Linked DNA regions of Pelodiscus sinensis. The protein of the gene in region 2 interacts with the protein of the main gene of each other region in a pairwise test. Links are inferred from orthologs where the notes say so. Each region holds a gene or a part of one and is shown on either strand. Other genes may lie near its edges.

Region 1 (9,954 bases), on a different chromosome or scaffold from region 2:
AGAGCAAGCAAAAGAATAAAGATAATGGAAATAAGTAACATGGATATTTTGTAAGTTTCAGAACAGGCATTTGAGCTGAGTGACTAATTCATAAGCCACAATAAACAATTTTAATCATCTGATTTTTTAGTTGCCAGTGAACAGGTTGTGATTTGCTTGGATTTGGTATTCAAATACATTTAATTAATTTTTTCACATATCATTTATTCTACAGTTTTCTTCTCAGAATTCAAACTATGTTACTTAGTTGTGACTAGTCAAATAAGTCATATGGTATATTTTATTCCCTGCATGAATTAATGGAACTTTCTGGTGCTAATGCTCCTAGAAAGAGAATAAGTTTCTTCCATGAGAATCCGAGTGTGTGATCTTAAATTTATTTTTATCAAACAGTTGGTAGAATAAAAGTTCATGGAAAGCAAGGACATAAAGGGCATAAACTACTGAGAGGAAGGATGAGCTTATGGTTAGGTCATTAGAAAAGCACTGGGGAACCACAAATTCCATTCCCAGCTCTCCTACAGACTTTTTTTTGAAAAATTTCATTGCACCCTAAGTTTCAGATCTGTAAAATGGAGATAATATTTCATTTCCCCCATCCTTTGTCTAATTTGTCTCGATTGTAAGCTCTGTTGCGTGAGAACTGTCTCAGGAGATTCTTGCAAAGAAACTATGATAGTGGAAGTTCCGGTGAAGTATTTGCTATAGTTATAAATAACCAAGATAAAGCAAACATTTAAAGAACAAAAAAAAAATGCTGAAATGATTTTGTAGAATTCACCCAATTCTACTTTCAAACACATAAGAGATAATGCAAAAAAGCCGATCTAACTGAAAAGCAAAACAATGATTCAGATACAGATGAATGTGGCGTGCATTATCATTTGTTTCATTTTTCTGTGGTTGCAAAATTTTACAAGTTTATATTTCTCATATCAAATATCTTCTTTTTCCATTTTAAAAAAATTAGGACATTTAATGGAACTTAACATTAATGTGTGTTTTAAAACTGTGACAATATTTTCCACCTATGGGGCACCTGGTCAGGGCAAAATACTGTTGTTTGAGTGACTGTATCATCTATGCTGGTATCACAGGTAACCATTTTCAGTAGATGGAGAGAAAAAAATCAGATCCACAAAAACACATTAGTTGATTAGATGTTATACATCAAATATTTCTAAATGGCAGCCCACTAAAATGTAGATTGGGAGCAACATTTAATTGTATTACTTAGGCCAAAGACAATCAGAAGAAGATTAATTTGACACAACTAATTAACTCATAAACCCATCGTCTCTTTCAATTTGAGCCCAGAATTGGGCTTAGATCACAAATAAAGTGAGTTTTGTTGTCTCTTGCAGGTGCCAATGCCTGTTGTGGATTATGGCATGATTCAATAAGATTTGTCAGGAAATCTATGGACTAGTATAGAAGAGATATTGTTGGTTTGGACTCAGGGATATTAACAGACTCTAGCTACTAGCTATTTTTTTATGATCACTACAGGTTTATGGTTATATTTTTTTAAAGATGGAAGACTGCAAAACTGATGTGTATGTTTTATTTATTACATGCCACCATATCAGAAACTATAATATAACAGTTTTCATTATATTTTCTTCAGGAGTTGCCTGTACTGCCCCCCCCCCCCCCAACTCTGTTCTCTTTTAATTCCATTTAAATGCAAATAATTTACTAAAACAGCTAACAGAAAATATTAAAAAGTATTAAATACACATTCCATAACAATACTGACATAAATGTCACAAACTACTTGCATGTGCTAAAAACAACTGTGTGAAAGTCATAATATACCTGTCCTTAATTTTTCGTTTCACTATTCTTCAGAGAGTTCTATATTTTTGGTGAAAATGCTATTAAGAAAAGTTTCAAAGTTTACTTGTAGAGGTGCAAGTTATTTAACTGGTATGAAATAGGACTATGGATAAACATGAGATGTAAAGATTGTTAAATTACCTAAGTTCTTATACTAGGATTCTATGATTAAAAATTGAGATTATTATAGTCATAAGAACAGCAGAGAAGAAAATTTGAGAAAACCTAATTATATTTAACAAGCATCATGACGCACATAATGAGAACATGTCCTAACCTCTCAAGAAAAGAACACTGCAAAAGGTAATCTGTGTAATCACCTTTATTTTTCAAAGGAATCTAGAATTCATGCCTGATACAGAATGGCTATGTTTCCCCCAAGTTATTCATTTAATTACTAAATTAAATTTAATTCCTGTCTGAAATTTACTTGCCTGAGCCTTGGGAGATTAATAGTTATTTTATTCTGTAACAAATTCCCTTTTTAAAAAACTTCTGCTTAATGTAAGAATATGCTAATTTTTTGCTTAGTTGAGAGAAGAAATCTACCCCAAAGGTTGGAATGAACTCATTTACTATGTATCCCTTACTGTCAAGGATTTTATTACAATTAATATCTCCTATACTTTTCTTTCATATTTAAGTATCTCAAATACGGCAAGTCTACACAGCAGGGTAAAAGCCAAATTCAATTATGCAACTTGAGCTATATCAATTGTGTAACTAAAGTAGAAATATTTTAATTGGACTTTTGGTTCTGTCTACCCAGCAGGAAGTAAAAGAAAGAACACTCTTCCTTTGACTTCCCTTACTCCCCATAAAATGAGTGTTACAGGAGTTGGAGTAAGAAATCCTTCGACTTGCCATTATTTCAAAATATGGCTTGCAGTGTAGACACACTCATTGTTATTTCAGAATAACATCAGTGATTCCTAAATAATGCTGCTGTGCAGACATAGCCACACAGATTTCATGTAGATTGAAATATCTAATGCTTAATGTACCTTTAAATGCCAAATCATCAAACTCATGTGAGGCTTAACATTCAAAAACATCCACTATTTAGCAGTGGCTCCCAGCCTCTCCAAACTACTGAATCCCTTTCAGGACTCTGATTTGTCTTGTGTACCCCCAAGTTTCACCTCACTTAAAAACGACTTATAAAATCAGAGAAACGTACAAAAAGTGTCACTGCACCATCAAGCAACTTTTCTGTATTTATCATTTATGCCATAAAATAATCATTTGCACCATAAAATAAATCAATTGGAATATAAGCATTGTCCTTACATTTCACTGTATAGGAGATAAAGCAGTATAAATCAGTCATTGTATGAAATTTTAGTTTCTACTGATCTTACTAGTGCTTTTTGGAGCCTATTGTAAAACTAGGTTAGTATCTAAATGAAGCCCTCTGTGTATCCCCAGAGATATATGCACCTCAACTGAAAACTATAATTTCACTGTAGGAAATGTACCAGAAAAAACGCCATGTATTGTGCTTTTTTTAAATTTTCAATAAGAATATATTGGATGTGATAGTCCATTTCCCAAAACTGAAGTGCAATTCCATCACACCGATAAACAAGCAATTTAATCCATGCTTGGGAACCCTGGAACTATTCTTCGGTTTCAGTGTTGTAAAAGTGCCAGAACCTGCCCAGAAAAGAGCACAAACAAGCCTCATGGATCTAATCTCAAACTGCAGAGCAGGTGTTTGCCTTAACATATTGGTCTGAATGGAGGGGCCACCTCGATTTCACTCTTTCTGGCTCCCATCTCTCCCTGCAGCTTTGAGCCACACACCAGATTCTTTGCAGGTCGGCAGGCACGCTGGGAGGAAAAGCCGGGACTGTCCCGGCGACAGAAGGGGGAGGGAGACACTGACACGGCAGAAAGGCGCTCGAGGCGGCTCCCCCGCAAGCCGAGGCTGGCTCGGGCACTGAACGCCCCTAGTGAGCCCGGGCCGGGGGCACTGTCCCGGGCTGCTCGGTGGCGACTCCTGGCAGCCACAGGCGCGGGAGAGATGGAGATCTCAGGGCTGCCCCACTGACCCGGCCGCCTTGCCCCGGGCTCAGCAGCTCCCGCTCAGCCCGCAGGGCCGGGGCCGCTCGCCTCCCAGCTGCACCCAGCCTGGCAAGATTTGCGGCCCCAGCAAGACCCACCCCGCCCGGGTCCCCACCTGCTCCCTGCCCGGCCTCGCTGCTGCAGAGCCGGAAGCGGGGCCGTGCGAAGGGGGCCCGGGGGCAGCTCGCAGCGCCCCCACTTTGCGGCTCTTCGCACCGGCCCGGGCCCCTTCGCTGCTGCCCGTGCCCTGCGGGAACTCACATCCAGGATGACCGAGGTGCCTTTCCTCTGCTCCGGGGGGCAGAAGCCCTGCCCGGCGGCCGCCTGCCCCTCCAGCGGCAGCTCCCGCTCCGAGAGGATGCTCTTGTCGCTCATCTTGGTGACTATCCAGCGGAGCAGCCCGTCCAGCCCCCGGAGCTGCGGCTGCTGCTTGTGGAGGATCTTGTGGACGCTCTCCCTGCAGTAGCGCGCTGCCTGCTCGCACATCTTTCACACAGTCCTCATGCTGGAGCCGGGGTATCCCCTCCCACACAGGCTGCATCACCCTGACAGCCGCCCGCGGCTCGCCCGCAAACCCCTCCCTGCGCACTCCCGGGGGAGCAGCCGGGCCGGGTTCAGGGGTCCCCCGGGAGGGAGAGTGGGGGACGCTGCTTTATGCGGGGTGGTCGGCGCTGCAGCCCTCGGCCCCTTCCTCAGCACCCAGGCTCCCAGCCCTAGGCACTAGCCCCCATTCCTCTGCTACCTCTAGGGCCAGAACCCAAGAGCCTGGCCCCCAGCCCTGGACCCCATCCCCCATTCCTCTGCTACCTCTAGGGCCAGAACCCAAGAGCCCTGGCTCCCAGCCCTGGACCCCATCCCCCATTCCTCTGCCTCCTGTAGGGCCAGAACCCAAGAGCCCTGGCTCCCAGCCCTGGCTCCCAGCCCCCTCCCATTCCTCTGCAGCCTCTAGGGTGAGAAGGCAAGAGCCCTGGCCTCCAGCCCTAGGCACTAGCCTCCAGTCCTCTGCCACACTCAGGGTTAGAATCCACTCGTCCTGACAGCCCAAACTGGAATGGTTGGTGCTATGACCTGGCACACAGGATCACAATACCACACGCATTTGGGTTGCGTGGCCCTGCTGAAGGAGCTAGGAGCTCTCTCTCCCACAAGCTGTTGGAGACAATTTGCTGCATTTTAAAAATACCTCTACTTTGTCTTCATCATTACCAGACCAAAAATTTCAACTCTTTTATGCAGGGCAACTCAGAATGCAGCCTACCTCCACCTCTGGACACAAAGCCCTAACAAAACCAGCCAGCTGGGTTCACTTGGCTCTTTGTAGAGCTGCTAAGCGACCTGCCTTGCTCAACTGGACAAATATTACTAGTCCTATAATGCTGCTTGTGAAGAGAGACACGTTGTGCTGTTTACAAACACAGAACAAGAGATAAATCCTTTGCCAGACGGCCATTAACCCACTTCAGCTTCCTACCAGCACAGACTGATCACACAAAAAATATACAAACTGAAAGGACAATAATGGAGAAAATTAAGAGAAGAGATTGACCCAAGCAGCAAAGGGCAGCTCCAGACTCTCTCACTGTAAACCTCATGGAGTCATCTCTAATTAGAAGTGTACTGCTAGGGTCAGTGCACAGAGCAGATCAGGCTGTGTTTTGATGTTAATTCCAGTGAACTTTGTTTTATTTTGCTATTAGTATGTCAGTGTGCTATTTCAAAATGATTCATCATTATAGATATACATAAATCATATAAATATGCATATATGTTTTAAATATTAATGGTGTCCTCAAGGCTACCTCCTTTCGTGTTACAAGATATTTTGCTTGTAGTTGGCTGAGTTGAGACAGAACTAGGCTTTGTTCCATGATCCTCTATGACTGGGGAGTTCCAAAGCATTTTAATGCACCCACTCTTAATAGAAAAAAATCATGGTTTTGCATGCCATTGATCACCTCCCCTCTGGGCTGTGTATGCAGGGACCACTTAGGGTATGTCTACACTAACCCCCTAGTTCGATCTAGGGAGGCTAATGAGGGCAATCAAAATCCCAAACGAAGCGTGGAATTTAAATATCCCGTGCTTCATTAGCATGTTCCCAGGTGGTCGCCATTTTAGAAATCGCCTAGCCAAAGTAACTGCCCGCATCTACACGCGGCAGTGAAACAGGATTCCGAATTAAAGCCCTAAATCGAATTAGCTGGTAAACCTCATTGCAGGAGGAATACGAGCTAATTCGATTTAGGGCTTTTATTCAGAATCCCGTTTCACTGCTGCGTGTAGACGCGGGCAGTTACTTCGGGCTAGTCAATTTCTAAAATGGCGACCACCCGGGAACATGCTAATGAAGCACGGGATATTTAAATCCTGCACTCGTTTGCAATTTTGGTTGCCCTCATTAGCCTCCCTAGATCGAACTAGGAGGCTAGCGTAGACATACCCTTAGAGCAAACATTTGCGGCAGCTATTGCAATTGCATTTACATGGAAGAAATTTTTCACAGCATTAATGCAACTTTGTACCTGGAAGGAAAGAAGCCACCCAACAGCATATAACCAGCCACTTTTCCATAAATCACCAAAGAAGTACTATACAGAACATTGGTAGTAATTCCAGAATCTCTGCCCTAGGGTACTGGCTCCGGAGTACTAGGCTAATATGAACACTCCAAGCTTCCTTTGAGGATTCTTGGCTAGCCAGCCTCCTTTTATTTGGTGGTCCTCAGTGTTGCCCTGGCCCTTATACTAAGAGCAGGCTGCCATGGACATAGATTGAAGCTGTCCGGGCTCCTTCATGAAAATTTCATTGCTAAGGTTCTGTGCTGATCTCTGCACCTCCGCCCACTTTGAGAGTCACTGTATGTTATAATCCAAGATACTCCTGCACAAAAGGCCTGATCCAACCTGCACATTAATTGCTCTTCCTTTCTCTCTCTTATCATTTAGTATTTTTATAATGGGAGCCCATGCATTGGACTGTGTTGTTTGTCTACACTAGGGACTGTTACACTAAAGCAGCCACTCCAGAGCAAATCCCCTGTGTAGACATACAGAAGTCTACTTCTTGCTTCATCTTTTCTTTGATCAAGTGAACCAGGAAGAAACTTTTTTATTGTTTCATTTCAAAAGCGTAGGTGTTCAGCTGCTGCTTGAAGACAAGAGACGAGGAGCTCAGTTCTCTCTGCTGGAATAAGCATATAATAGCAGTGGGCTCCGGAAATGTGTTATAAATAGAGCACACATAAAGACTGGCAGTGGGATACTACTTTCATCCTCAGTACCCCCTCAGTTAGGCAGTACTTTGGCTGCAGAATTTATTTTTTGCCCAGCAACTCAAAATTAATGACAAAAAATCTGGTTTATTGAAACTGCCTGCAATATGCTAACTGGGCTGTGCTCATTTACAGTGAAATTCATTCCTCTGATGGGGCTAGCATGATACCTATGCACCACTTACGTTCCACATAACCATAAGCCTTACAGCAAAGAAACCATAAGAGAAGACATAAGGTTCATATCTTATCCTTTCTTTGAGCAAGGTGTAAAAGGGACTTCAGTGATATCCGGTCCATCTCCTGGATTTTCCCAAAGCAGTAGCTATCTCCCTTAGAAAATAGCTGTGGGATGGAATTTGACTGGCCATGTTGCCCATTCTGGTTGGAATTTTGAGTGGATTAAAGAATTTGGAGCTGGAAAAGATCAGTTTGGTCAAGCCAGTCTTCCTTATTAGTGGGCAATTGTTCCACAGTGTACTTTTTCTAAATCAGTAGTTTTAAAGTATGTCAAGAGAGGCAACACTTCTCTTGAGAGATTATTCCATAGCTCAGCAGATTGTGCAGTAGTGATAAATACCATAAACTTCTCTATATACCTAATTATACCCCCGTTCACTAAATTATGCCACTTTCTCAATGGTATTTACTTGCTCCAAATATTCATATGTTTATCTTTGCCCTTTAGCCATTCCTTAAAAATGCCATCTTTGCTAAATGCATATGTGAGTAATTCAGTTAGTTATCCTATTTTCCATTTTCAGCTCATGATGATCTCGCATTTATTTGTTATTAAGAATTGTTCGCTGAATACATTTACAAATAATGTCTTTCCAGTGCCTTTTCCTAGCAGTTTGTTATGAGAATTCATTCACACTGGAAACTTTGGGTTCTGTATACAACATGTGGCAAAATAACACTGCCTTCCAGCATAACATGCTAGAAAAAATGTTTTGGTAATATGAAGTGACACTAGAAAAACATTGGCAATTTCCATGGGGCAGCTAAATTTAGGTGGTGGACAATGTATTTTTCACATACAATGCTCATGGGAGCATTGAATTTAGGAGGGAAATATGTAACTGGTGGCTAAATGGCAAAATGCAGATAATTCAGAGTGAAATTAGACACAAGACAGCTACATTTCCCAATGGGCCATGAGAGAGTTAATCAAATAGCTCCCATAAAAGTCAGCATTGGTATGTGGCTACATATGCATTCTCTTTGAAACCTTAGGCAGTGATTTCTTCGTACTGTTGTCAGAAGAATATAAAATGGCAAATGAACTCTAACTCAAACTGCCCTAATGCCTAGCTATTAACGGTACATTTCGCTTGTTTTACCATACCTGGCACTTTAACAAGGAAGCAGTTTGTTTTCTCTTGAGATACCAATATGCAGAGAGATTTTTCCATTTTTTCACCAGAGCAGAGAGTGATATTATTGACAGCTCCCAGTTGCTTTGAAAGCTTAATGGATACAGAGTACCACTTAATTGGAAATATAGTAGAATAAAAAGCAGGGTAACATTTTTCAACAGACCAGCATCCTGTAGCCAGCATGAATTTCATTGAAATTTGCAAATGTTAATTACAGGCCTAGGCAGAACCAGCAAGATACACAGAACTAATTTCAATCGGATGGACCCTGAACTTATGCCAGCCAACTCTAAATCCTCATGGAGACTTTTAATAGCTGTTCCCCTCTTGCGGAATCCTCTAGCTATTGCAGTCAATAATGAGACTGCAGGACTTGCAGTATACCAAAGGCAGCAAACACCAAAATATAGCTATGCCTTCTGTGCTCCTACAAGTATCTTAGGTTAGCCTATTGATCAATGGCCATTTTGGTTTTCATGTTCCTTACCTAGCAGGGCCCTGAACTCCTGGGTACTGATATGGAGGGATCCAGGCCAGCAAACATACATTCACAAGCTATAGTTTTGGCTCCATTTTGGGTTTGCTAACATTTTATTTTTAATTATTTAACTTTCCTATTATTGCACTAACCAAGCACACATTTGACATGCATCTGACGAAGAGGGTCTTTGCCCACAAAAGCTTATGCTCCTACACTTTAGTTAGTCTCTAAGGTGCCACAGGACTCCTCGTCGCTCAAGCACACATAGTATAACCCAGTGGTGAGCAATAATTTTTGACTGGGGGCACTTCAAACATTTTTTAAGAGTGCGGGGCCAGATGCTTCCAGGCTTCCCCACCCACAGACCATGATTGGTCTGAGGGTGGGTGGGCTCCATTGCACCTCCTTCCCACTAAGCACCCATGCCCCTAGCAGGGCAGGAAGAAGCTTCACACGCTCCCCCAGCCCCAGGTTAATTAGAGCCAGGAGGCTGGAGAAGCGCACAAAGTTTCCTCTGCCCTACTTCAAAGTGCAGCGCGTTCCTCACAGGACAGGAGGAGGCTTCGCATGCTTTCCCACCCCCAGGCCAATGAGAGCTTGGGGGCAGGGTGTTATACCTAAAAGTATGATAAGTATGATTGGGCTTTAATGTTTAGCTATTCTTTCAAAATGGAGTCTGTGGGGATGCCATTTTAGATTCCTGTCAAGATGGGTTTCCCGCCAAAGGTTTCCCGCCTTGTTTTCCACTCACCACAGATTTGCACTCGGTGCTTACGTGTTTCTTTGCACACGTCCCTAGGAGCTGTGCACCCTGCTCAGAATTGCACTCAGCCCCTTTTGCACCCAACATTACTATGCACTCAGCCCTCATACTTCTTTTCCCGCCTTAAGGTTAATAAAACCCCCTGCTGAAGCCC
Region 2 (9,936 bases):
TTAGATGCCAATTATAATTAAAAAAAAAACACAAGAATTTGACTTCTGTTCTAAAAGTTATCCCATATATATATAATCTGTCTTGTATTAAGATTTGGCAATTTCATAAGGCAACTCACAGTGTCTTTATGCTATTGATTTGGTTGATCCTTATTAATTAGCATTCAGAATTAAGTATAGCATACAGACTTGTGTTGATTGATGCTTTTCTTCAAGAGATTAATTTAAAAACAGGTGTCCGTGATAATGTTATCTATATCAGCTGTCTTTGATATTGTGGATCATGAAGTGTTGATGATACACCTATCCTGTGTGAGGTGAGTTTTTTGGCTATTTTGGATGTTTCATACCTATTATGAGAAACAATGTTGAATTATTGACCTTGCTAGGATGGTTAATGACTTTATCACTTCTAGTCTAAATTAGAAGTTCTACATGGGGCTGTACCTTCAATCCTCCCAGAAGGGAAAGCTAGCCTAAAGGGTGGTGGCTGCCCTCTTGTGTATGTATCCTGTCATGAGCAGGATGCTGTAATACTTGTCCTCCATGGACTGCACATTGCTTTTCACATAACTCAGAACAGAACCCTTATGGCTTGAGACCTTTTTTACTAGGGATTTAAGTGACTAGTCGACTATCCAATAAGCATATGCTTATCGGATACAAGTGGGGCTCTTGTTACATTTCAAAAGAAGTGCCATGGGAGCAGGGGGTGAGTGGGGGACCCAAGTAGTCCCCCGTGCGCTCCCTGCTTTTGAAATGTATTGGAGGGGCTCCTGTATGTTTCAAAAGCAGAGCCCGGATGGGGAGCAGGGAGCCAGCAGGGCTCTTGTGCATTTCAAAAGCAGGGAGTGCAGAGCCAGCTGGGGACTAATTTGAATTCCCCATTGGCCTCATGCTTCCGGAGGGGCTTCCGCCTTTGAAATGTAACAAGAGACAAATGCAAAGTGCTCCACTAAGGAAGGACCAGTCAGTTTCACACATACAGAATGGGAAGCAACTGTCTAGGAAGGAGTACGGCAAAAAAGGATCTAGGGGTTATAGTGGACCACAAGCTGAATATGAGTGTGATGCTGTTGCAAAAAATGTGATGCTGTTGCAAAAAAAAGCAAATGTGATTCTGGGATGTATTAACAGGTGTGTTGTGAGCAAGACACAAGAAGTCATTCTCCCTCTCTACTCTGCATTGGTTAGGTCTCAGTTGGAGTACAGTATTGTGTTCAGTTCTGGGCACTGCATTTCAAGAAAGATGTGGAGAAATTGGAGAGGATCCAGAGAAGAGCAACAAGAATGATTAAAGGTCTAGAGAACATGACCTATGAAGGAAGGCTGAAAGAATTGGGTTTGTTTAGTTTAGAAACGAGAAGATTGAGGGGGGACATGATAGCAGTTTTCAGGTATCTAAAAGGGTATCATAAGGAGGAGGGAGAAAACTTGTTCATCTTGGCCTCTGAGGATAGAACAAGAAGCAATGGGCTTAAACTGCAGCAAGGGAGGTTTAGGTTAGACATTAGGAAGAAGTTCTTAACTTTCAGGGTGGTCAAATACTGGAATAAATTACCCAGGGAGGTTGTGGAATCCCCATCTCTGGAGATATTTAAGAGTAGGTTAGATAAATGTCTATCAGAGATGGTCTAGGCAGTATTTGGTCCTGCCATGAGGGCAGGGGACTGGACTTGATGACCTCTCAAGGTCCCTTTCAGTCCTAGTATTCTGTGATTCTAAGAGCAGGCAGGGCTCTTGCTACATTTCAAAAGTGGAGGTGCCCTTATCAACTAATCAAATGGACAATGCAAATTGCATCCACCATTCAATTAGCTGATTAATCTAAATTTAACATTCTTACTTTTTACCTGAAACACTATTTTTCACTCTGCACCAAATTGCTGTTGTTTTGATCAGGAAAGCTACTCAACTTGACCTAGAGCTTCTTTGCTACATGACAGTGAGCTGCTGGCAGTGTGGTCTCCCTTCAAATTTGGAATTTTCTCTTTGCTAGATGCTAAATATGCCAAATCTTTTTACTCTTTTGGACATATACTGCAAAGCCTCTACTTTTGAGCTGGCTTTTGTGAGTTTCTGGGGAAGTCTTAGTAAACTAAGGCCTAGTATGTTTTTTATTTGGATTCTGGGGGTTGGAGTAGGTTGATGCTCTTTTGATTTGGTGTTTAGTATGCAAGTAGTGCATCTTCAATCAATTTACTTTAAATCCCAGTAAAGAGCAGCAGGTATTCTTCTTTAGGTCCAGTGCCTCCTTTGGTTTGGAGTCTGAGGGTCTTGGTTTTGCCAAGAGCAAGGAGGGAGGCACAAAGGGTATGGCTTTGGGAATGTATACACAATGCTGCCGCAGTCCTAGGCCAGGCTGGCTGACACAGGCTTGGGCTGAGGGGCTAAACATTGCTATGCAGACAGTCAGGCTCAAGGAGGAGTCTGGGCTCCATCCTGAATCTGAATATCTACCACCTATTTTACATCCCAAGTCAGCTGACACAGGCCAGCCATAGGTATTTAATTGTTGTTGTGCACATGTGCCCTACAATGTAATATGAGCCCAGGTTTAACAGAACTCAAGTTAGCAGATCCTCAGTTTGTTAAACTTGGGCTTGAGTATTTACACTCATCTGAAACCACAGGTAAGGAATGGTTGAACCCTGGGTCCCAATCTGCAGCTCCAGCATCTACACTGCATTATGTAAATCAGTGTCCAATCATCCGTATCCCAGACCTCCTATCGTCTTCCCAAAATGTGGGTGTTTCTTTGTTGTGAAGTTTCAGAAAATCTGACAGACACTAAACTTGACTGTCCAGAGGACAAAGGAAGTTAGACCATGAGAGTGTGGGATACCTGATTGCCACAGAAAGAGTCCAATGGGCTTGAACCCTAGGTCTTGGCTAGGACGCCCAGTTTTTTATCGGAAAGTATAGTGGAAAAGGGAACCTGACAGTGACCATTCAGATCTGCTGACTGGACACCCAAAGTCCAATTACAGTGGTTGGGGGAGACACCAGATCAACACTCAAAGTCCTTATTCAGCTGGGTGGGTGATGATCTGATGTTTCCCCCAGCATCAGGGGGCTGCAGCTCCCTCGTGACCTGGGTGGGATGGGAGTAGGGGGCAGAAGAGGGAAAGAGCAAAGAGTGGAGGGGACAGCAAGAAAGAGGACCAAATGGGATTGGACCTCAAGAAAGAGGTGAGATAGGGGCAGGTACCTCAAGAGAAGAGAGGATGGAGGAGGTTCTGGCATGCCTGCTGTAGTGTCTGGTTTTTAAATATTACAAAGTTGCTACCTTAGTCCTGGCTTCACTGAGCCTCAGCTGCTCCACCCCAATGTGGTCCTGAGTATGAACCCTCAAATAGCGTGATTTGTGTGTAGACAGAAAATACTTGAGGCTGAGTTTGAACCCTGGGCTTACAGTGCTGTATACCAGTGGTTCCCAATCTTTTTTATACCATAGCTCGGCAAACCGCTAACATTTTATTTGAATATTTGCACACTCATTATGTGAATAATGAATATTCAAATATGCAATAAAATGCTGCTGGTCTGCCAAAAGTTTGTGAATGGGTATGCTAGTCCGCATTATAAAAAGCCCAAGCCCCCAGAACTCCTCAGTGCCAGCCCTAACACCTAGAGGCCCCCACCCCTCCACTACTCCCCCAAACCAGACACTGATCCCAGAATCCCCTGCACCCAACCGCCCCCCCCCCCCCCCGTGCCAGCTTCCTGCTCTCAGAGTCCCCAGTGCCAGTCCCCATCTCAAATGCCGCAGTGCCAGTCCCCCCTTAGAGCCCTCCATCACCAGACTCCCCAGTGCCAGCCTCCTGTTCCGGAGCTCCACTGCACCCAATCCTGCTGGGCCTCCCACACCCCGAGACCCCCAGTATTAGCTTCACCCTCAGAGCCCCCCCATGCCAGCCCCCTGCCTCTTAGAGCCCCCCCCCCAGCACCAACCGTGCCCCTGGACCTTCCAGTGCCTGCTTCGCCCCCCGCCCTGAGCTGCCTCCTCGCTTCCAGCTGAGCACTGCTGCCCAGGTTGTGGCTGCTCTAAGCGTGCCGTGCTAGGCTCCGCGTGGCCCTCCCACTGCACAGTGAACTGATCTTCTGCAGCTGGGGGAGACCTCTCAACAGCTGTGGTGTGAGGGGAGGCCCTGGGTGGTGTACCTAAGTCCCCACCCCCAGAGCTTCCCTGGCTCACCATTGGTCTGTGGACCGACGGTTGGGAACCACTGCTGTATACAGTTCTGCATAGCTAAAGCATGCAGTAGATTTTGGTGACCAGGGGTTTGGTCATGCTATAAGGCAGAGGTTAATGTTACCATATGTGAACGTTCAAAAAAGAGAACACTCCTGAGAGAGAGTGTATCTGTATCAGTAGCTACCAACTCATTACGGCTACGGCTACATTGGCAAGATTTTGCACAAATACTTTGAATGCAAGAGTTTTTGCGTTAAAGTATTTGCGCAAGAGAGCATCTACGCTGGCATGTGCTTTTGTGCAAGAGATGTGCTTTTGCGCAAAAGCATCTGTGCCAGTGTAGATGCTCTCTTGCGCAAGAAAGCTCTGATGGCCATTTAGCCATCGGACTTTCTTGAGCAAGAAATTCATGTTGCCTGTCTACACTGGCCTCTTGCGCAAGAACAGTTGCACAAGAGGGCTTATTCCTGAGTGGGAGCATCATAATTCTTGCGCAAGAAGCCCTGATTTCACACATTAGAATGTCAGTGTTCTTGCGCAAGAACTCCCCGCCAGCGTAGACAGGCAGCAAGTTTTTGCGCAAAAGCACCCACTTTTGCACAAAATCATGCCAATGTAGACACAGTCATGGTGTATTAGTATAGTGTAGATACAGATACACTCCCTCTCAGGAGTGTCCTTTTTGGTGTCCTTTTTTGAAAGTTCAAACATGGTTAACCCTAGTAGAGATGGGGAACCTTTTTTGGGTCAAGGGCTGCTGGCCCACAGAAAAAATCAGTTGGGACTGCACACAAGAGAGAAGCAAAAGAACAAAAACAAAGAAACAAAAAAGCATAAAACCCTCACTAACATGGCCCACAACTGAGGAAGACACTTCCCACATTCCCCTTGCACACCAGAGGCTAGGGGAGCCCAGCCTAGTAGATTTTGTGTGCTTCAGCCCTGCAGTGGGACAGCAGCACGGTGGAAGGGGGTCAGGGGGAAACTGGAGCGCAAGCAAGGGCTCATCAGTACTAAGGGGTGTGGGAGGACTGAGCCTTGGGAGCTGGATCCAGGCAAGCCAGGGCACAGGGCCATATCCAGTTCCTGGGCCTGAGGTTCCCCACCCCTGCTATAGGATGTGACCCTGCAGGTGTAAAGGGGGGGAGGTAAGAGCAGAGCAATGATTTCCTCCTTCAGGCGTCACTCAACCTCCTTGCTACTGAAAGCAGATCGTTTGGACCCTTGAAGTCCACATAAGAACTGACCCTGCGGGGACAACAAATCCCAGCATCCCATGCTCCACAGTCCTTCGAGCAGACAAGGACCCGGCCGAGCATTGCATGCTGGGAACTGTAGTCTCTTTCGGGCTTCTGGCTGCTAGGTGGCGCCTTGCGTGCTGGGGGGATCGGTATTCTTGGAGGCGCGAGCCGCGCGTTTCTACGCTCTGTAGCGCGTTTCTACGCTCTGTGACGTGCAATCAGACCTCTCCATGATCCCGGCGGAGTTCTCGTGAGATTCCCCACCCCTCTCCCCCGCCGCCTCGCGAGAAGAGCTTGCTTTTCAAACGGACCCATGAGAATGTTGCTTTGGCTCGAACTGGCCAATCGGAGAGCGAAGACGCGGGAAATTTAAATCCCGCCACGGGCGGAGTCAAGGCAAAAGGGGCGGAGGCGGCGGCAACGTGTGCGCTGGTGCTTGGCCTGGTCGAGTCAGAGGCTGCGCCGCAGGGACGAGCAGCGATCGCTGGTGCAGGTGCGCGCGCGGCGGGGGGAAGGTGTCTCGTGCGCTGAATTGGGAGGCAGTGGGGGGGGGAGGTTAAAGAAAAGGGGGAGCTGAGGGGCTCTAGGGCGTGTGTTGGAGCGGTGGGAGTGGGGGGGGCAGGGCTGTGTGTGCTTGTGAGGGGGAGATTCTGGGGCTGTGTGGGGGGATGGGCTGGAGTTATCGAGGGTGAAATGCGTTGGGGGTTTCGTATGGGTTGCACAGATAGTCGGGTGGGGGACCGTTTCCCCCCCCCCCCTTTGCTCATTGCAGGTTACTAAAGCGATGGGCGATTCCTAGCCCGCCACTCTCCTAAGGAAGGCACTGGCTGGGTTGCTGGCTTATTTTAATTCGCCTAATATATTCTTCAGGGTGCGACTGTGGTTGCTTCGTGGTGTTGGTTTGGGGCTTGGTTTAGCCTCCACACGGAGCGGAGATCTGTACCCCGTTATAAATGAAGCGGCTGCGCTACGCTTGGGGTGTGTCTGCAAAATGGCTCTCTCCCTTTAAAAGGCCATTGTCAAAGTGAAATCTAGTCAGTTCCGTAAAGGGAATCGAAATTTTAACCCAGGGAGCTGTAGATCCTGTAGCAAATCTCTTCTGTTTTGTTGGGGGGAGGGGCGGAAGCTTCCTTGTCACTGTGCCTGAATGATCAGTGGTGTTTGCAGAAGTAATTAATGTGATTATACGTTGATAGCTGCAGAAAACCTAAAATGTATAATTTTTATTTGTGGTAAACTTACGTATCACTTGTAACAATAAAAAATGGTTGTCTCATTTGAAATGAGGCAATGCTCCTTGTTTGCACATTATTCCACCTCAGGTCTGGACATCCCTATTTCTAACTCCCATCTTGATTTCAAATGCATATCTTTCTCTAAAATCTAAGTAAGTTAGATTTGAGTTTAATATGTATTTCAGGTCTCTCTCTTCTGTTGATATTGCCTGAGTCTGACTACTATAAAAATGTCTACCAATGAGAATGCTTGTGCAGCAGTTGCTCGTCTGAACAGGTTCAAGAATAAAGGAAAAGACACTACAGTGAGTATCTTTTTTTTTAACTGGAGTCTGTGCTCATCAGTGTTTAAGCATAATTTAGCCCTTTAAAAAAGAAAAGAGTTCCTCATGACGGCATATCTGCCTTTCTCAGGAAATGAGGCGGCGGCGCATTGAAGTCAATGTAGAGTTGAGGAAAGCTAAGAAAGATGATCAGATGCTTAAAAGAAGAAATGTCAGCATTCTCCCAGATGATGCTACTTCACCTCTTCAAGAAAATCGAAACAATCAGGTAACTAAATCTCCCAGCTTCATCAGTGGATGTGTTACAATGGATGTCTGTGGTACCATATAATTGTTACCAATTATAACAGAGTACATAGTGCCAAATCCCTGCTTGCATAGCCTCAGACTGCAGGCTTTGTCTACAGTTGGGACATGGCTTTAAACACTGTCTATGATAATACTAACTGGTTGCAATAAAATGAATTAAAATTCATGTTGTCACACCTAATAACTGTCTTTTCTAGGCTAGACAAAATTATGGCTGATAAGGATTCAGAATCCCATTATAATTGGACAATGCTCCATTTTTAATTTAAGTGCCTTCTTTTAATAGTCTGCCTTGTGGACTGCTGAGAGAGCTTTTGCTTTACTATACAGACACCTTTTTCCCAACATAGTCTTAAGTTTCTGTTTCTCATGCAGGCCACTGCACACTGGTCTGTTGAAGAAATTGTCAAAGGAATTAACAGTAACAACTTGGAGCTGCAGTTGCAGGCAACTCAGGCTGCCAGGTAAGAACTTTCGTGATCGGATTTGCTGGGAATTAGCTGATTTCCTCCCCCTCCCCCCCCATCAGAGCACAAGTTTATAGCAAATACTTGTTAAAACCTAGTTCTGTGTATAGAAACCAGCAATATTTTAATCTGCTCTCTGAAGTAAATGTTCTTGGAATTGACTTTAGTCAGCATGGAGACTAGGGCCAAACTGAATTATCACTTAGCATCAGTATACCCTTGAATAATCTAAGGTGTGGCCTGGTGCACACTAATTATGCCACTGATTCTTAGGTGTGACATAGAGGTGCTGCTCTCTGTACATTACAAGATCTCTCTTGAGCAGTTCAGATGCATTTGTATTGTTGCAGCACCATAAAGCATTTCACTTAAGTTACTCAACTGAAAACCTCTTAAGGAAAAATTTCCTTAAGCAATTTTAACTCTTTAAAGCTTCCTAGCTAGCTAATGTTCCAAGTGATCGGTAGCTTATCTGAACTTCTCAGTGCATTGTGCTACTTCCCCTTTTGAATTTTTTTCTTACTTTAAAAAATAGTTCTCAAGCTTTGCTGGAATCTACCCTAAAGATTTTAGTGGACAAAATATAACTCCCTTATTTTTTTTCCTTCCTTAGGAAACTCCTGTCCAGAGAGAAGCAACCTCCAATAGATCATATAATCCGGGCTGGCTTGATACCAAAATTTGTTGCCTTTTTGGGTAGAACAGACTGTAGCCCTATTCAATTTGAATCGGCTTGGGCGCTTACCAACATTGCCTCTGGCACATCAGAGCAAACTAAGGCTGTAGTGGATGGTGGGGCTATACCAGCCTTTATATCTCTGTTGGCTTCACCTCACACTCACATCAGTGAACAGGCCGTGTGGGCTTTAGGAAATATTGCAGGTATATCCATGTAGAGCTTGATCATTGTTTTCAGCCCTACTTCCTCAATGCAAGGGGAAGAGAGCCAATTGGGGACAGACTTTCAACTGAGGAGCTGTTGTGTGCAATATGCCTGACTATAATGCAAAGCTTGTAAATTCATACATAGCAAGAGTAAAATAGTGATTCAGATGAACACTGGGACAATTATTTTAGTACTTTAATCACAGAAATTGTTTAAAATTGCTTGGATTAGACAGCGGGTTTCTGGGGTACCTCCCTATTCCTTTTGTGTAATCTCAACCTTAATTGAGGTTGAAGTAACTTCTTTTGATGCCTAAAATCTAAATCCTTCAACTAGCCAGAGTGGTAGATAGGGCTGTTGGCTCTCTGCTGTATGAGGTTAAAAATTCCAAAGCGCTTCATGACCAGCATAAAACACAATCAAGAATCTTTAACAGTCTTTGTTCATGGATGGTCTATGGTAGCACTTCAACAGCATTAAGTTCACTCTGATTTTCATGCAAAATCATGGTGCCATTTCTAGGATGTTAAACTTAGATTAATCAGCTAATTGAATAGTCAATGCAATTTGCATTGACTATTCAATTAGTTGATAAGAATGCCTCTCACCTTTGAAGTGAACAACTGCCCTGGGGCTGTTGCTACACTTCAAAGGTAAAAGTGCTGTGGGGGATTCTCCAGCTGGCCCTGGGCTGCATATAGCACTTCAGAGTGGCAGCACTGTGTAGAGACAATGTTCTGGCCCTGGGCTCCAAGTGGCACTGCTGCTTTGAAGTACCCCTGCTGCCTCTTTCTGATAAGAGGCAGCAAGGGGGGAGGGAAGTGATCAGTCAACTATCTGATAAGCATTTGATTATCGGATAATTGACTAGTTCACATTAGGAATGTTAAATGTCGGTTAATTGAATAGTGGAGTAACCTCCTGAATTCTTATCAGTTAACTTTTCTATGGTGCCTGTGGGCAAGGCCAACAGCCAGTGTGTCTCACTCCCAAGGAGCCCTCTGCCACTCCGTGCTGCTGCCTCTAATAGAGGCAGCAGTGAGGGGGGCCAGGCAAGAACTGATCTGTGAGGGGGAGCCAGTTTAAAACCAGCCCCCCCTCATGGACTGGCTGCCTGTCACCCTGTCTTGTTGCTTCTGATAGAGGTAGCAGCATGGGGTGGCAGCAGCCCTTGTCGGAGTGCAGATGTTCCAACCTGGCACAAGCCTGAGCTGGGCTGTCTGCCAGCCCGGCTCCTAATACACTTTTAATGCAGAGCCACAATGGGTAGGTCCCAGACCCAGTGTGAGACAGGCTATTGGCCAGCCTGCTGAAAA
Region 3 (9,785 bases), on a different chromosome or scaffold from region 2:
AGTATAAAAAAGTCCAAAATAGCAAGAAGTGAAGAGGAACAGATTTTGGCTGCTACAGAGTCTGAACTGGAACCAATGTAGTGGGAGAGCCTGGGTTCTCCTAACAGCTGCTATAGAAAGTGATGTGAGGCCTCACAGAAAGGCATAAGAACAATTAAGATCTAAGACCATGGGATCCACAGTTACAGGCTGAAGATGTTTTGAAAGGACCCTGGACTGTTGTTTGTTGGACTCATACCCTAGAAGAGTGGAATAAAGATATGAAATGGCTGAAGAACAAAGCCACAAGGAAAGACCAGGGCTAGAACAGCGGGAATTAGTTGAGAAAAGAACTGCTATATCTAACTGCAGAAGGGCGCACGCCAGTGGTGAGTCAATCCTTTTACTACTCATAATTTTTCAAACTTGATCTTGACTTTCTTAATGTTTATCCAGTTTTACAGTATTAGTGTACATCTTACAGATGCTTGTTCTTTACTTCAGAGAAAAGACCTCACTATTTGTTTTGTCCAAGTCATTTTATTTTCTTGCTTGGAAATGCAAAAAAACAAAAACAAAACTTTACCTCCTCAGCTTCATCCTCTTGATCCCAATTCCTGTCAGTCAACTCCTTCTCTGCAATTCTCTTTGCCATTTTTCCCACACCTGTGCAAGAATTTCAGTAATCAGCAATCTCTATTAAGAGCATCAAACTGATTTTAAAGAGAAACCAAAAATTAGTCCGATCTTTATTTTGTGTTAATATAAAAAGGGTTTATAGAAATCACATAAAACTGGAAATATGAATGAAGACTTATGCACACTGGAGGCTCAATTTACAGCATATTGTATCACACAAGGTGCAGGAGTTACTATTTGACACTAAGTTTATGAATTACTATGACATTGTGTGTAACATTGCTTTTACATGTGTAAGAACCTCTAATTGCATCTGAAGTGCACACTCTCGAAAACTTGTAGAATTTTAAGCTAAAAATAACTACTGAAGAGTCAAATATGTTGCCCTTTTGAAACCAAACTGCGGAAACATTTAGGAAGTTGGGAAACTTGCACTTTGTTTCAAACACCAAACTGTAGTAAGGCAGCATGACACTTAGTGACTTCTGAAATGTACTGGGAGAGGGAAAATAACCTGTTCATATTTCACCTTAACAATCACTTTATTGGTCTTCACTGCAGTGTAAGAATCTTATACGGTATGCCAGGCATCTAATAGCTGAAAGCTTCTACACTCCAATTTAGCACAAGATGTTCTGAAAATGTATACTTACGCCAACAAATTAAACTATTTTGCCTATATTATACCCTGACAAAATTGTTGATAGATTTAACTGTAAACTAAAAAAACCCTATAGAATTATATACTATTTATATAGGAAGGAGTGTTGTGGTGACTTGGGGCTTTTTTAAAAGGTTAGAGATGGGAGTTACAATAAGATCTAAACATTTACGGTTCTATTGTTGAGGCTAAAAGTTTTTCAAATATTAAAACATTTTTATAAACAATTAAATTACCAAGAAGCTTCAAAAAAGTTACAGCACCATTACACCAGAGTTCATGAATTCATTCTCGATTCTCCTTGGCTTGATTCATAAATTTAATTTGGACAATTAATTTTGAGATTTAAACCAATCTTTAGAAGAACATCTAAAAATTAATTTAGATGGGTCTGAAACTGATGTAAATTTCTGGTATTGGTTATATTGTGACATCTGATTTAGTTAAAAGTAATTTAAAATGAACAATTGGAAGGCTCATTTAAAAAATTAAGTTTGAGATAGGTTGCCTGCAGTGTTCCCTGTAAGTCCGTGGTCACCAACCCGTTGATTCTGGGAGCCCCACTCCTCAGAAGCCCCACTACCTACCTCCAGTGACAATGGAGGTAGTGCCAGCTTCCTGCTTCCCTCCCCCAGGTCTATGATGTGCTGAGAACTTGCAGGATGGGGAAGACTCCCCAGAGGAGGTGCATACTGGGAGCTGTCCTCCTCCTGCATCCAAATTCCTCCCAGAGCTTACACCACTTACCCCTTTCCACACCCAAATCCCTCATTCCCATCCCAGAGCCCACATCCTGTCTCCACCCAGTGGGGGTATGGCTAGAAAAACTCCTCCGCATTCAAGGACACGTTTGTTCTTCCACCTTTTTTAGTAGAAGAGCAAACGTACTCTTTCGGTAACCCATGTATTCCTCGTTCCACGAGGAATAAGGGGGCTTCCGAAAGGTTTTTTTATGACACTTGGTCCAGTCTAGACAGGCCACATGTTGGAAAAATCTCTTCCTACAGAAGTACCAAAAAAGAGCAGCAGCGTAGACTGTATAAGGGCTGGGGATAGCAAGTGACTGAGAGGAGGAGAATAGAGAGGGTAGGGCTTCAAGGAAGGGGTGAGGTCTTGAAGGATGGGGCGGCAGACCACGGCTTGTTCTGATATTTAAAAAGTGATCTGGGGTGTAAAAAGGTTGGAGACCACTGCTGTAAGAAGTGCACTTGTGCAGCCTCTCAGATTAAATGCTGGACAGCTGGCTAGAGCTTTTTGTTTGTTGGTGGTGCACATTCACACATGCCTTGATACACACAAAATTCTGTACATAGATGGAAAAGATTAGAGGAACATTAATTACCTGTAAGAACTTAGGCATTTAATGCAGTGTGTGGAGTAAAGTTTTAGAGTATTCTTTAACTCAACATCTCAACTTTCTGCGAATCTCAAATTTCAATATCTCAACATGATTCAACCTCATGGGAAACTGTACACTTTCTACAATTAAGTGAAATTTCTATAAGACTGTCATACTGAAAAATGACTAGGATGTCATTTTGCAGTTTGTCAAATATTTCACAGTACAAAAGCAAGTGAGACTAATGTACCACTTCAATTTACCATCATCAAAACTACCTTGCTTTTGATAAGAGGATGGTGGAGCTCAACTCCTTCAAGGACAAGTATATATTTTTTTTAAATGATACACTTCTTGATGTCTTAATTATACCATATTCCTATTCTATATGAACACATCTAGGGATATTAAAATTAGATTTAATCAAGTAGCTGTTGCGATTTCCATCAACTAGTCGATAAGGAAGACACAGGCTATCCTGCAGTGCCTCTCCCTTTGAGAAATGTACAAGAGCTGTCTGTGTCTCATGTACATTTCAAAGGGAGAAGTGCACCAGTCAGGACATCTCTACCTCCCCTCCTCCCTGCAGAAGTTCCACTATTAAGAAAACCCTCTCTACATAAACCCCCTCTTGCCTTCATATCTTGAGCTTACTGATGGTTTGCTAATAGATCTCTGGGCATCAAACAAGTGAGACCTATTAAAGATTCACTGTTCAAAAGAAGATTGATAGTAATAGCATTAGCTTGCCTGAAATTTACTTCCTGTGCACATTAAAATACGTAATGAAATAGACTCCTGATGAAGGAGGTTAAGCTGCAACACTGTTTCTCTGCAACCAGCAGGATAGAAAAGTAACAGCAGATTTCTTCCCACCCCCCCCCCCGTCAGGTCTGTGCAGCAGGAGTCTTTCCATCCCCGGCATCGCGGGGCCAGCAGCCACCCTGCCACTGCGGCGTTACAGGCCAAGGCGGCGGGGGGAGGGGGCCGATTAGGGTTGCACGTTACTGAGAGGCGCGCGCTGCAAGTGTCTCTTCCCCCCCCCCCCCCCGGGCAACTCCAGGCCCGGGAAGAGCGTGATGGGCGCGCGCCGCGCTGCCGGGGAGGGGGGCGCTGACCAGGACAGGGGCAGGTACCGGCAAAGGGGCGCGTCCTCCGCCCCCAGGCCCGGGCAGCGCCGGCGAGAGGGGGCGGGGGGGGCAGCGCCGGCGAGAGGGGGCGGGGGGGGCAGCGCCGGCGAGAGGGGGCGGGGGGGGCAGCGCCGGCGAGAGGGGGGCGCCTCCGCGGGGCCGCTACCTCTCTCGTCGCTTCCCGTTCCCAGCAGTCAGGCGGGGCGGGCGGCGGGGAGCGGACGGTGGCGCCTCTCGCAGCGCTGCGGGGCCGAGGCTCCGGAGGAGGCGGAGTCTGAGTCGCAGGGCCACGAGCGCTCTCGCCCACCCCCCGACACAGGAAGTCCCCTTCGCGCTCCGATCAGGGCCTTCCCCCCACTCGGCTTCCTCCCGCGGCCATTTTACTGTGGTACCGCCGCGGAACTCGCTCGTTGAAACACGGGAGGGAAACCCGTCGAGAACCGTCCCGGCGCCCGGCCTCCCCCGGCGCATGCGCACTCACCCCAGCCTGAGCCCGACTTCTTGTTGCCGGCCGGCGGGCAGCAGCCAGGCCGGAATGGCGGCGCAAACGCAGTAGAGAAAGGGGGTGGGGGGCGGAGATTCCCGAAAGTGACTCGCGCCCGGCCGTTGGAATGCTGGTCGCGTGCCACCGCCAGCCAATGCGCTGGGCGTCTCCCGGTCCGCCCGTCCCACTGAGCCGGTCGGGGAAGGGAGGGGGCGGGGTTAGGTCGCGTTCGAATTTGGGTCACGTGTCTCAAGCAGCCTGCTGGCCTATAGAGAGCGCCCTAGGGACACTCCCCCAGCTTGCGCGGGGGGCGGGGGAGCAGAGGGAGGGAGCAGGGTGTGGTGACCCAGGGGCTCTGATAATCAGGCTCGCAGCTGCAGAAGTTGGTCCAATAAAATATATTTTATCTCATTCGCCTTGTCTCGCTGATGTCCCGTGACGGGCACAGGCTACCAAGACGACAAGCACTAACAAAGTATCAGAGGGGTAAAAAGCACTAAGGAAAGTTTGTTCTGAAGGTTGCCCCGATGACTTGAGAGGCCCTGAATTTCAATTGCCAGGATGTGTGTTTCTGGGAGTGGGGTGACAGCTGTGGGTATATACGGGGGCCCCATGGATGCCCTACTAAAAGCAGCCACATCAGCCCTGCCTGCCCGTAGCCACTGGTGACTCACTGCTCAGTCACTTCCATGCAGATTAGATCAAGGCAGGGATTGTCTGTTTACAGAGCTCCTTCTCTGTCTGGCTACTGTGGCTCCTTTACTGCTGCTTAGGGCTCTCCACTTAACTGGGTCAAATATTATACTCGGGATGTGCCAGTTGTGGAGTCTGAATAACTTTGGAGGGTCTCATCCAGGTCCTGTAGTATAGACAGGGTTGGGAGGAGTTATATTTTTATCAATGAAATGTTGGTAAACATCAATTTCACTTTCTGCACACAAGCTGAAAAAATGTTTTCATTGAGAATCACCAAAATTTATAGCTGGACACAGTAAAGAAAATGCTTTTTGATAACGTACTAGGATTTGATTTTGAGGCTATACACATTGTGCATTTTGATATGTAATGCTGACAATGTGTGTTTTAATGCTGGTAAAGCTTTTACTGAGGAAGGCCTCTGTGAAGTGATCTTGAGGGTTTGTGCTGAATAATATGGAATAAGGTGCCATGGACCCACAGACAGTACCAAGGAGAAGGGAAACTCTGATTTTAAACAGAGACAGACAGAGCTCACTAAGCCTTTTTAAGTCACATCTGTATAGGAGAAGGCAACTCTGATCTGAAACATGCACTCTCTCCTTCCAGTGCGCATGTTGCAGTTCCTGTGCCTGTGTACAATGATCGGTATGAGATGAGAGAGTGGTGTTAGAACCCACAAGCCAGTCTCACTTAAATCCATTCATGTGTGATGGTATATCTCTTGACACTAAAGATTTACCTCTTGTTGACAAAAGTTCTATGGTGATGAGCAAGTGACATTTGGATGCAGGTGGCGGACACCACTGGAAGCATCTAGCCATAAACCTGCACATAGGTGGCTCGGGTGTGATGGTCATCTGGCTGCTGAACTGGAACAACAGCAGCTTCTGTATCCTGTCCAGATGGCAAAGCCGCCCTATTTAGGGATAGCGTTGCTTTCTTTAAAAGAAGAGAGGGAGAGAAAACAAACCCTAAACACAGCTTGTTCAAGTTGATTCCTGTCAGTTAGCCATGACTGACTGGATATCCAGTTTTGTGATCACAAAAGAAAATCAATGACTAAACAGAAACTACATTTTGCATCCTGGAATGTATGCACTCTTCTTGACAGTGATGATCACCATAAACGCAGGACAGCAGTAATTGGTAGAGAACTTGCTGGAGTTAATACACCTCTTCAAAAAGCGTAAATTAAGTTGATAGAAGAATTATAGCATCTACAGTGAGGCTACATCTACATTGTGCTCTCTTGTGCTATAACATATGCAAATGAGGCATGATGATGAATATCGCCGTGCCTCATTTGCATACCTAATAAGCTGCCATTTTGCGCAAGGGGCTTTTACACAAGAAAGAGCAGTCTATACTGCTCCTTCTTGCGCAAAAACTCCCTCTTGCGTAAGAGCCGTTCTGCTGCTTATTTTCAGTCACTTTCGCGCAAAAACTTGCCAGCTGTCTACACTGGCCGCTTGAATTTGCGCAAGAGCACTGACTTTGTAAAGTACAAAATCAGTGCTTCTTGCGCAAATATTTCGACGCTCCCGCTCAGGGATAAGCCCTCTTGCGCAAGAGGGCCAGTGTAGACAGGCACCTTAATTTTTTGCGCAAGAGGGCTAGTGTAGACAGGCACCTTAATTTTTTGCACAAGAAAGCCTGATGGCTAAAATGGCCATTGGAGTTTTCTTGCGCAAAAGCGCATCTAGATTGGCACGCAAAAGCATCCGTGCCAATCTAGATGCTCTTTTGCGGAAATACTTTTAATGGAAAAACTTTTCTGTTAAAATTATTTCCGCAAAATCATGCCAGTCTAGACGTAGCTATAGAGAGGAGGAATACACATACAGACTCAAACATTAATAAAAGCATGAGTAAAAAGGGTGGCTTTAGCGTGACGCTGAAACAACACTAGCATTGGCGCCATGCGAATATCCCGAGGAAGAGAATTCCACAGCCTGGGAGCAAAAGCTAAAAATGTCCTGTTCCTCGTAGATGTTAATCTTATCTCCACAAGTGGGGGAACACGAAGCGCAGCCTCCCCAGCTGACCTCAGTCCCCAGGCTGGTTCATATGGGAGAAGATGGTCCTTCAGATACCCTGGACCCTACTCATTTAAGGCTTTATAGGTCATAACTAAAACCTTAAATTGTGCCTGGAAACATACTGGAAGCCAGTGCAGCTGCTGAAGCACTGTCATAATGTGCTCTGTATAACTAGTGTTAGTTAAAACTCAAGCAGCCACATTCTGGACCAGTTGAAGTTTCTGAAGGCTCTTTAGAGGCAGCCCTACATAAAGTGCATTACAGTAATCCAGTCGGGATATAACAAGAGCGTGGATCACTGTGGCCAAGTCATGTTTGTTCAGTAAGGGTTGCAGACTTGGGTATGGAGACATAATGGTGATCAAGTGAGATTGGTGTGGCTCACCATCATGCCTCGAGGGAGTACTAACAGACAAAGGCCCCCATATACCAAGGACACACTGGGTGTGTCTAGACTACAGGGTTTTGTTGACAAAAGTGGGCTTTTGTCGACAAAACTATACATGTGTCTACACTGCTGTTGAGTTCTGTTGACAGTTTTGTCAACAGCTGTACACCTCATTCTACGAGGAATAACGCCTTTTGTCAACAGAGTTCTGTCAACAGAAGGCGTTATTGCATCTACACTGTCCTTTCATCTACACTGTCATGTCGACAAAGCAGCTTGCTGTTTCGACAGAACTGGATGTAGGCTAGACGCTCTTTGTCGACAGTATCTGTCGACAAAACTTCTGTCGACAAAAGCCTGTACTCTCGTACCCTCTGAGTCCTGAGATTATGGCAATGACTTATATGAACAGGATAATGCACATGTAGTGGCTATTGCTCAGTTGAACTTACTTCAGACAGCTTTGGATGTTGCAGCAATATGGCTTCAGGTACAGGAAGAACAGGAGGACAAACTCAAGCAATTAGGTCTGCAGGGCATTTATCTGGAGCAGCTTTATTCAGTATAGTGCTGCTTCTAGGTTTAGTCAATTGGCAGAGACTGGTGTGACAAGATAATGCAATGATCAGCCATGTTTACATGAGTTCATATTGCAGAAAGCTACTTTCCTGGAGATCTGTGCAGAACTTGTGCCAGGATTGCACTGATAGAACACCTTCATGAGCATTATACTCAGTATGAAGAGATGCATGTCTATCACTCTCTGTAAGCTTGCCATCCTTTATTGCTAACAATTGGCTAAATAATTTAGTGTTGATTGAAAAGCTGATGGGTCAATTGATATGGATATTTGTTGTGCTATTCAGAGGATGCTGCTGTGCTGAGTAATAAAGGTTGGCAATACATGGGAAGTTCTTGATAGCGGGTTTTGGCAGAGGGGTTGTTAGTTTGTTTTTGGACAGATGGGAGGGTCCCAAACTGTAATGGAACTATTGATGGCCATCTTTGGCTATTCTTTGCCCCCATATCAGGCTAAAGACTTTCTCAGCAGGCAGGTATATTTCTTCATAGTGCCTCAAGACCTGGCTGATTGACAAGGAAGGTTCACTTATGTTAATGTGAGGTGATCTTTAGAAACTTAGGCTTTTTTTTTTTTTTTTTTTTGGAATCAGTCCAGGGAATTTTTGCTCCCTAGACCACTATAGGCATTAATAGAGTTATGATGTCTTTTGTCATTCTGGGAGACCTAGCTTCCCCTTTGCTTATCTGCTTTTACTGGGCATTTGGACAAGACAAAAGAGATGCTCAAATATACATCAACTGCAGAATGACATTGAAGTGTACATTGGAATATGGAAGGAAAGTTGCCTCCTGACAAGATTGGAGACTGATGAGCAACATATGCCTTTTGTGATAAGTGTTTTCTGCGTTTTGCATAATGTCTGTGAGAGCAAGATGGGAGCCTTGCTGATGAATGGAAAGAGGAAGCAGAGAGACTTTCTGAAGGAAAGATCTGGAGAGGGTACCTCTGAAAAATGCTCTAACTGGTCAAGGAATCTGTAACCAAGCAGATGACAGTAATGTGGTAGTGTATTTATTGGTGCTAAGTGCAGAAATGTTCCTCTATTACACTTTTCAGCTAAGTCGCACCAATTTTTGTATTGCGTTAAGAGATCAATATATAACCCATAAAATTGTGTGAATGAAAGAGTTAAAGAATATAGTTCAAATTTAAGATGAGTGAAGCTGTGGCATAGAATCATAGAAATGTAGGGCTGGACAAGAGCTTGAGAAGTTATCATTCCAGCCCCCTGCACTGTGACAGGACCAAGTCAACCTAAACCATCCCTGACAGGTGTTTGTCCAACTCGTTTTTAAAAATCTCCAGTGATAGGAGGTGATGAAATGCTCTTCTCAACCTATTCAGGGCTTAACTGCCTTTATAGTTAGAAAGCTTTTCTTACTATCTAACCTAAATCTTCTTTGCTGCTGATTAAACCCATTATTTCTTCTTGTACCTTCAGAGGACATGGAAAAACAATTCAACACTGTCTTCTTCAGAACAGCCTTTGAGATATTTGAACACTGTTATCAGGTCCACTCTGTGACCTGAGGTGTCTAGAGTAGCCCACACTGAAAATGCCAAAGTAAGGGCAGGCTGCAAAATGAGAACAGATTCTCCCAAAACTAATGACTAACTTTGTAGTTAAATTCACAAACCAGTCACAAACTGGGCTCCTGTTCCCTCACACTGGCTATCTGGAAACTAAAAAGAATTCACACAGTCCCCTTTATTGAATTCCAAGTTCTCCAGCTCCCTATCTGCAAAGAGGTCCAGTAAGGGAAGGAGTTATTTAAAACATTATTCACTATACAAAATGTTCTTCTGATCTCCAAAGGGTCAGCCACATGACCAGATCAATATTA

The links. The genes of interacting proteins can lie anywhere in the genome.
Region 1: the proteins of KPNA2 (region 2) and NECAB2 interact in binary tests that used the Homo sapiens proteins (3 or more experiments, as listed by UniProt). The two-hybrid records come from large-scale screens. The link is inferred for Pelodiscus sinensis from reciprocal best matches to the Homo sapiens genes KPNA2 and NECAB2.
Region 3: the proteins of KPNA2 (region 2) and NUP50 interact in binary tests that used the Homo sapiens proteins (3 or more experiments, as listed by UniProt). The two-hybrid records come from large-scale screens. The link is inferred for Pelodiscus sinensis from reciprocal best matches to the Homo sapiens genes KPNA2 and NUP50.

What each region holds. Positions count from the first base shown.
Region 1 is NC_134722.1:38,259,859-38,269,812, forward strand, and holds the start of NECAB2 (N-terminal EF-hand calcium-binding protein 2), read right to left. Parts: upstream 4,429-9,954; 5' UTR 4,393-4,428; coding exon 4,168-4,392; intron 1-4,167. UniProt on the Homo sapiens protein: May act as a signaling scaffold protein that senses intracellular calcium.
Region 2 is NC_134730.1:20,963,246-20,973,181, reverse strand, and holds the start of KPNA2 (importin subunit alpha-1), read left to right. Parts: upstream 1-5,777; 5' UTR 5,778-5,932; intron 5,933-6,859; 5' UTR 6,860-6,904; coding exon 6,905-6,979; intron 6,980-7,088; coding exon 7,089-7,226; intron 7,227-7,642; coding exon 7,643-7,731; intron 7,732-8,347; coding exon 8,348-8,616; intron 8,617-9,936.
Region 3 is NC_134711.1:123,431,950-123,441,734, reverse strand, and holds the start of NUP50 (nuclear pore complex protein Nup50), read right to left. Parts: upstream 4,429-9,785; 5' UTR 4,230-4,428; intron 4,221-4,229; exon of another isoform or gene 3,915-4,220; intron 646-3,914; 5' UTR 635-645; coding exon 566-634; intron 1-565. UniProt on the Homo sapiens protein: Component of the nuclear pore complex that has a direct role in nuclear protein import. Actively displaces NLSs from importin-alpha, and facilitates disassembly of the importin-alpha:beta-cargo complex and importin recycling.